Linked DNA regions of Neodiprion lecontei. The protein of the gene in region 2 interacts with the protein of the main gene of each other region in a pairwise test. Links are inferred from orthologs where the notes say so. Each region holds a gene or a part of one and is shown on either strand. Other genes may lie near its edges.

The links.
Region 1: the proteins of proteasome subunit beta type-4 (region 2) and proteasome subunit alpha type-2 interact in binary tests that used the Drosophila melanogaster proteins (3 or more experiments, as listed by UniProt). The link is inferred for Neodiprion lecontei from reciprocal best matches to the Drosophila melanogaster genes Prosbeta7 and Prosalpha2.

The regions. Positions count from the first base shown.
Region 1 is NC_060265.1:26,830,077-26,834,686, forward strand, and holds proteasome subunit alpha type-2, read right to left. Parts: upstream 2,982-4,610; 5' UTR 2,887-2,981; coding exon 2,846-2,886; intron 2,432-2,845; coding exon 2,099-2,431; intron 1,258-2,098; coding exon 927-1,257; 3' UTR 775-926; downstream 1-774. Other genes in the region: interleukin enhancer-binding factor 2, read left to right, coding at 3,259-3,260, 3,672-3,978, 4,095-4,401, 4,574-4,610. UniProt on the Drosophila melanogaster protein: The proteasome is a multicatalytic proteinase complex which is characterized by its ability to cleave peptides with Arg, Phe, Tyr, Leu, and Glu adjacent to the leaving group at neutral or slightly basic pH.
Region 2 is NC_060263.1:14,690,567-14,694,772, forward strand, and holds proteasome subunit beta type-4, read left to right. Parts: upstream 1-1,980; 5' UTR 1,981-2,023; coding exon 2,024-2,196; intron 2,197-2,508; coding exon 2,509-2,715; intron 2,716-2,803; coding exon 2,804-2,950; intron 2,951-3,117; coding exon 3,118-3,316; intron 3,317-3,417; coding exon 3,418-3,510; 3' UTR 3,511-3,688; downstream 3,689-4,206. Other genes in the region: methionine aminopeptidase 1D, mitochondrial, read right to left, coding at 3,750-3,940, 4,139-4,206. UniProt on the Drosophila melanogaster protein: Non-catalytic component of the proteasome, a multicatalytic proteinase complex which is characterized by its ability to cleave peptides with Arg, Phe, Tyr, Leu, and Glu adjacent to the leaving group at neutral or slightly basic pH.

The DNA.
Region 1 (4,610 bases), on a different chromosome or scaffold from region 2:
GAAGAGTTTGATCCGTACCGTGCTTGTTTAAACTTTGTAATCTCTAAGCGAGAACTCGCTCTCATGGCATAATATACCGCAAATTCAATTGATTATCGATTAACTTCAACTTTGGAAACTTGAATTTAACGTTCTAATCCTAATCTACAACCACCCTCTCTATTATGTATAGAAACTGTTACGGCTTTCGCGTTCTCTTCTCTTAGATCGGTACCGTTGTTGTATAACGTTCAATATTAACTGAGCCTTGTCAACTTTACACTCCCCTCGCGGCGAAACTTCATCTCGCGAATATTACGTTTCGAGGAGAGCTCTTAGATATTCCGATTCAATATTGAACAGCGAAGTGCACACGCAGAGCGTCATTGCCTTGTTAATTTTTGCCGCAGTTCACACGAGTTCTTTGACCGCCACTTACGAATCAGGTATTCCAGAATTTAAATGACTGAATAAAAAAATGAAAAAGAAACACGGAAACGAAACCAACAGGTCTTTACCTAATCTCACGCGAAATTAAACGCGAGAGCGTCAGAGATAGCAATCGTCTAACACGCGTGGCGAAATGCCACAACTTAAATTTTTACACTAAATTTGACTGTATTTATTCAACTTCGTTAATTGCAAATTCGATAACAGAGTGTCGTCGGTTTGAAAAAAGAAGAGGCTGAAAATAGGAAGAACACATCATTTCAAACAAATCTGCTTCGTGGTAAGATGCCTAAAACATTAAAAGATATATACACTGTTCAATCAAATTAATATAAAAGGCATACGTAAGAAATCCACTAGCGATTTTTTATTCATTTTTTTTTTTTTGTTTATTTCAAGAAATTTTTTTATTCGCGAGCACATTCGTATTGCCGACTCAATTAATGGATATTACAATACAAACAAAAAAAAAAAGTAAACGTAGATAGAATAAAAAATTAGGGGATGTTCGCAAGGTAGTCCTTGACATTGGACGGATGGAGTCTCCTGAATCCATTGGCGTCACAAATGCCGACTTCAATATTGTCCGCGGTCATTTGCCCCTCAAATCCTTCCTTCAAAGTCAGAATAGCGGTATGAACGGCGTCGTCGAGCTCCAGATCTTCGCTGTATCTCTTCTCCAGGAATGTTTTACCGTTGATGTGATTCTTTCCCATCGCGGTTGCCTTCCAGGCGTAATAAGCACCCGACGGATCGCACTGGAACAGGTACGGCTTGTCGTTGTCCCAGCCGCAGATCAGCAGAGAAACACCGAACGGACGTACACCTCTGCACAGACATTATTTAATCAGTTCCAAAATGTGACTATGCATGTGTTACGTACTCCGCACTATTTCACAGTTCTATTTCACTCATACATCGACTTTCATCCCTCCTACCTAATAGTCGCTCCATTTTGCCAAACAATACAAGCCTTGCACACCCTGTACACACCCGATTACCGCTTCTTATTCCCGGAACCTTGATCCTACACACCCCGCTTTTTGCACACACCCATACTTTGTTTTATTCATTTCTCGATGCAATCCTGGTCCGTCTTTCATACGATATTCTGACTTTACCTTTCGAATCGGACACATGTTCGATAAATCATAAGGCATATTCCAACATCAGCACACCAGACTCGTTCATTTAAATCCCTCACCTAAACTTTCCGGTTGTTCTTAATCATAAAAGTGAAGCGGAACCTCGTCTATTCTGTGCTACTCGAAAATAGATAACGCGTAAATCATTACACGTGGTTCCTTTTAAATCTTTGTGAAGCAATTTTCTTCGACTTGTCTTATGCCCTTCGATTGACAAATGTCAAACAATGAATCTATTATGGAAATTTCCAACGAGAACCATTTTACGACAAACTCTTTCAGATTTCAACAATTCTTTCCATAAATATACTTTTCTCACACATCTGCTTGCTAAAACCTTGTATCTAAATTTGGTAATGTCTACTTTTCATGGTTTATAACGTTGATACCAAACATCAAGTCAAAAACAGCATATAAAATTCATTCAAAACCGTTTAAATTGCATGAGGTCATAGTAAATATCAGCTGGAAATTATAGTCAAGTTTCGGCTAATTATATGAAATCATGAAAACTCTGATCTTACCCTGACTGCGTGTACTCCTGCATGAGCATCGCTACTCGTTGAACGAGTTGCGCAGTTGGAATTGGTTCCTGGTACACTAGCAAGTACTGCTGGGCGATTTTGCGAGCTTGCTTCACAAGTAGACGATAGTCAGGCCCCATTCCACTATATATCATCCCAATATGCTTGGTAACCATTTCAACCTTGTTAACACTGTGTTCGTCATAGAGTATCGATTTGTGCTTGTTTTCAGTGGCAAGAACAACTCCGTTGGATGCCTTGATGCCAACCGAAGGCGCCCCAGCTGATACTGCAGCCAATGCATACTCGATCTGCACCAGCTTGCCCGACGGGCTGTAAGTATAAAATAAAAATGTAAAATTTTGAAATGATGGTGAAGAATAATGAGGTTTTATAGTCGACGCAATCAAATTTGAGCCTTAAACGATGTAGAGTAACAATGACAGGACAAAAAGTGGAGATTCTTTGATCAAAACATGGGATGCAATAAAGCTCACTCCAAGTTTCCATGGAGATTGAGACAGAAATTTGAAACAAGTTTGATATTGCTTAGGTGAGAATAAAGTTTCAGACTCGTTTGACACGAAACTTTTTCGATTCTTGACGTGGTTTTTAGGTTAGGACCGAGTTGACGGACTTTCAAACTGCTGGCTAAGATAAAATTTTGAATATTTTTCCAGAAACGGTTAGACTGATTGATTGAAGGTCGCAAGAATACAGGAAATACGTTAAATTCCCTGTTCTTACCTGAACGTAGTCAGCGAAAAACTGTACCGCTCCGAAGCCATGATTACCTTGCAACAATACACTAACCTGAAGCTCGAACGGCTGAAACTGGAGAGTTTCGACTTTCAAGTTAACGATCTCGAACGTAGAATCCAAGATGGCGACACGAATCGCGGCACACTCGCGCTCTCGCGCCTCTCGCGGTTGACTTCAGATGAAACGCCATCAGGATCGTTAAACCGGCTAAGCACGGCTAAGCACACGCTGAGGACTAAGGTCGGCTATTGCTCAAATAAATTATCCAGGGTAAGTTATTATTGAATAAATACCGCGATAAATACTCGATTAGAAGAATAAATAACAGCTCATCTCACTCCGAGTAACGAAATACCGGAATACGATTTGTTTTCAGGGTGATCCTGGATCTTCCAGCAATGTAAGTCTGCTATGCTTGGTTAGGTTCTTCGTTCAATGTTCATTCGCACCTTAGAGCATATACTACTGGAGGTAGCTTTGCGTGTACAGAAAGTCTAGCCGAGGAGTGAGTGAGAGAGAAAACGAGAGGTATATTTTCGTTATAATTGGTTTCTCTCTCGCTCAACACGCGATTGGCCAATACGTAGTCCAAACATTACCCTGATTAGAATCGTGCGAGCTCTGAACGATTGTGAAATTAAACCTTAAAAGAGCACATCAGCACATTTCTTTTATTTCATCTATCTCTCGTATTGCCGTCAAGCATCAATCGAGCCAGAAATCACGTCCCACCAATTTTTAATATCTTGTGAACTATGCATCGACTCCAGAAATGATTAAACGATGCATTCGATTTGTTCTGACATTGCAGGCTTAATATGGTTCGAGGTGCTCGCGGCGGCATGATAAGAGGTGGTCGAGGAGGAATGGGGCGTGGAATGGGATTTCCTAGGAAACAGTTCCTGCCCAGACATCCCTTTGATTACACCCTTTGCGAGGCTGCGTTTCCTCGTGTCAAGGCAGCTGCGGATGAGGCTGACTTTACTACGGCACTTCTGAAGAAAAATTCAGATATGTGTCCGACAGCGAAAGAGCAGAATTCCATCTTGAACCTCGTTACGAAGCTACAAGGAGTTCTGGATAATCTAATCGTTGCACCTGGAACCTTCGAAGCTTGTGTGGGTATACAGCAAATTTAAAATGGCTGTAAATACAGTTAAAGCTATGTTTTTCTTTTTTTTTTCGAGTGAAACGAAAATGAGAAGGAACATTGATGGATTCGTTTCATTTACAGCAACTCGAGGAAGTCAGACAAGTGGGGAGCTTCAAAAAAGGGACAATGATCAAGGGTCACAATGTAGCAGACATCGTTGTTATCCTCAAAACATTACCTACAAAAACAGCGGTTGAAGCGCTGGGCACGAAAGTAAACACAGACTTGAAGGCGGGCAATCCTAAAGAGGCGTTTAAGCTGACTCAAACGGAACGTGGATTTGATCTTTCAACTAATGAGGCCACTGTTCGTGTCCTCATCACTACTTTGCATCAAAACTTACGTAAATTGGAATCTGAGCAGCATCTTGACGTTAAAATCTGCCAAGGTATTTACCGACATTGTGTTGCACCCGGATCGTTTGACTTTTTGATAAAATTTCACAAGAAAAAATTCAGATAGTTACCAAAGCTTAAAAACCTATTCAAGTTTTATTTTCAATTCGCAAAATAGTATCAACCTTGTTTCAACATGTTTCAATTTTTTTTTTTTTTTTACAGGGCACCTAGCAGCTATCAGACACTCTCGATGGTTCGA
Region 2 (4,206 bases):
GATCCGAACAGCTGATTTTTCGGAATCAACAATCCTGAACAACACTCAAAAATGAAGAAAAATGCGAATAAAAAATGATTGAGATGCTTACTAGCATTCCATGGCGGGCGTGATAATTGTTTTTTTTTAACGGAATCCTCAAATGTTTAAGTCAATAAAATCCATAAACATCAAGCGAGGGCTCACAACTTTTGAGACAGTTTGACACACACTTTACACTGAGTTATGAACTGTCAAAAACTTCGATGAGCAGGTTATCTTATCGGTATATATCTATACCTATCATACCCCAGGCCAATGGCGCCCCTATCGGATAGATAGGAAACAAGACCGTGTGCCTCACTAACGGTAACACCTCTCAACCACATTGATTACTTTTTGACAACACCTGCTCTGGAAGTTGACTTTTCGAGCGCTGTATGTTATCTCCGAAACACACAATAATCGCATACTTGACTATGGGTATGTTCCGATATACACTGCGAGCACTGTTCAGTGCTCTTACTGGGGAGAAATTCGTTCCGTTATAGACGGACAGTATACAGTCGCAGTATCCTAGGGAAATATATGACGTCATAAATCGTCGCCATTTTTCTACTGTGAACACCGGTGCTTTCGAGGTAAGGTGCTCTCAGTGCTTTGATCACGTGATCAACAGCGTTCAGAACTTTAACAGCTTCCACTATTGATAATTATTATTATTGAATATTGTCATTTAAAAATACCGGCCGTTAAAAACAAAAATGGAAAATTTGAATAAATTGTGTTTATTGCAATGTGAAACAAATATTATGTATGAAATGAAAGTAACGCCAAAAAATGTCGATCACAGTATACTCCACTGCGTTCCGTTTTAAGCAGTAACCAGTATAGCTAACTATAAAGGAACGGCTTCGCAGTATACTAAATTGACGTCACACCTTACAGTGCTCGCAGTGTATATCGGAACATACCCTATAGGTATGTGTTTCATAAACGCACATGTTCGGTTAAGTATCAGATAACTGCACAGATTCCACCGAAACTATACTACTATAGAAATATAACCACACGAGTACAGTCTGTATTAAACTCACTCTGGCCGTGTTTGTAAATTGACTGCCAGTACTAAAAATTCCCTAGGGCAGAGACAGAGCTGTCCATGAACTCGGCAGCGCAAAAGAGATAAAAGATTGCTGACAGTACTGTCAGTCAATTTTCGAACACGGCCTCTATCTTTTTCACCTTACTAGAAACTATTCAAACGCCATCTGATGCCGCTATAGTAATTTAAGTTTTAAAATTAATATATTCCTCTCAAATTCGACTTCCAGATCAGTTTTTGTAAAAAATATTGTATTCTACGCGTGGGATAAGTAGCAAATATCTCATTCGTGATTACGACATTCGCTGTAAGGTTTATGAGACGTTCATATGAAGACTCGTGTGGTTGTCGCAACTCGCCCGACGGCTCGTAGCGACATCTACCACACGCGTCTTCATACGAACGTCCCATAAGCCTTACGCTCATGTCGCAACAACATGACTGTCCGATTATTTGCTACTTATCCCACATGTAGCATAAATAACTGTATTGATATCCGAAATTGCGGATATCAGATACTAATACTATGAAAACGAATGTAATGATATGAAAAAAATGCAATATTAAAGAAAATGGGCAACCTCACCATTCAGCGGTTTGCGACAACGGCCAAAAATAACGAAATTTGAGGTTCTGTAACTCAGCCCTACTAGGGCCGTGTTCGAAAATTGACTGACAGTATTGTCAGCAATCTTTTATCTCTTTTGCGCTTCCAAGTTCGTGAATAGCTCTGACGCTGTTCTAGGGAATTTTGAGTACTGTCAGTCAATTTACGAACACGGTCTAGATAGTAGCGACGTAGTGCCGAAACCGTAAGCTACAAATTGATTCAATATCTGAGTCACTCCTAGGTGCTCCTAGCCTACCCCCAGCACCAGAGTTGCAAGACCTGTATGTAAGACGTGTTCGTGATCATACGGAACTGGTCAGCTGCGTGCGATGATTGCGCAGAACACACTGAAAGCACAAGTCAGTCAAAACATGGCGTTTCTAGGCGAAGCTAATCGTTATTCTCCGTTTTTGGCAGCGCAAAATGACTCGTTTCATAGTGCTTCGTATGATTTGTCAGCCAATACTTTGGTCCCAGACATTTACGGTTCACAACGATCACAGTAAGTCTATACTCCATCTAATTATTCTTTCGTCCGTCGTCCGGTACGTAACCTATACTTGCTCTGTCAAATATTGTTCTACCGTTATATCATACACTTTGAATTTCAATGCAAAACAAACGTCCCAAGTTTCACTATCATCAATCGTTGTACCTGATGATTTTTCCTTGAAGCCCCGGTAAAATTCATTAAACCGCAACGTCTAGAACTTGCCAAAAAAAAAAACCCGCTTGTCATGACACGGAAATGAGTCGTTCCCTTGTCTAATTCAGAATCAAATTGTACGAGTGTCAATTCTTTGCAACAATATAGGGCACCATTGACTACCGCGACTTCAGTAGTTGGACTTCAATTCAAAGACGGAGTTGTGATAGCAGCTGATGTGCTCGGGTCGTACGGGTCATTGGCCCGCTTCCGAAATTGTCAGCGCATAATGAAGGTCAATGACAACATCATCTTGGGAGCTGGTGGAGATTATGCAGATTTTCAGTACCTGAAGAACATCATTGAACAAAAGATGTAAGCTGCACTGAATTGAATCTAACACACGCTATTATAATTGAATAAACAATTGTTAAAGACTCGGTATTACCAACAATTATTCTAGACTTGAAGAAGAATGCCTAGATGATGGATTCTCCTTGAAACCTAAATCACTGCACTGTTGGTTGACTAGAGTAATGTACAATAGGCGCTCAAAATTTGATCCGTTTTGGAACAATTTTATCATCGCTGGACTGGAATATGGACAGCCGTGAGTAAACTTATCAACCCTGAACATTGATACGCCAATTTTGGTTGTACATGCTACAGCTAATAATTCGGCAAATGCCAATCGTCTAAGACCTTCAAATTTCATTATTCCCCCTTGAATTTCACGTGTTTATTTGAGGGTTGCTAATAAAACACCTATTCACCCAGTTTCATGGGAACGGTAGACAAGCTCGGAACAGCTTACATTGATCCTGTGATTGCAACTGGTTACGGAGCTTACATGGCTACACCTCTGTTAAGAAAGGCTCTAGAGTCTAAGCCAGATTTGAATAAAGAAGAAGCTATAGATATTTTGACCAAAGCCATGCAGGTTCTCTTTTACAGAGATGCCAGATCATTTCCAAAGGTCAGTAAATCCTCCTGAACAAGCATGAAAATTTCCACAGTATAGTTTAAAAGTGAACTGAAAATTGGGTATAAAGCATCTGAATTTCATCTGTGTTACAGTACCAAATTGGAATCATAAGTAAAGAAGGAATAGAGATTAGGGGACCACTGACACTAGAAAGCAACTGGGAGCTTGCTCACATGATTGGATAAACATGATGCAGAATATGAGGGAATACAAATAATTGCATAAAACTGCGGTGAATGTGATAATAGTGTTGAATGTGTTTTCAAATGTTCTAGCACAGAATTGAACTATTAGCGCAGCTCCGTGAAATTGATTCTTCTTTTATATCAGTAATAAAATAAAACGTAAAATTTGATTTATTTATATGGTTCGCGTCTGTACATGATGTATTTGAATTTAATACTATTTACATACTCTGATATATTTATTGAGTCAGAATTTCACTGCCTGTATCAGTAATCAGAATGGTGTGCTCCGCTTGAGCAGTACGTGCATTGTCTGTGGTCACTGCCGTCCAGCCATCCTCCAGGATTTCTACGTCAGGCCCACCTTGTGTCAGTACAGGTTCAATTGTGAATGTCATTCCAGTCTGCATCTTTCCAGGTTCGTCGTTTTCTGGAAAAATTGAAAGTTGAAATTATTAAGAGGTAGGAAAATTAATGCATACATATAATTGATAACAATGTTCAAAATTCATAAGATATTGTTCAATTTATTCGGTTGAAATTTTCCCAAGCTGAATATATTCCAGAAGTTAGTAATTTTTAATCCACAATCTATATCTCTAGTCCTACTGTCATGAATCGAACTTACTGAAGTGACAAATATCTGGAGGTCCATGGAAGTAATTGCCAATGCCATGGCCTGCAAAAGCGGGAACA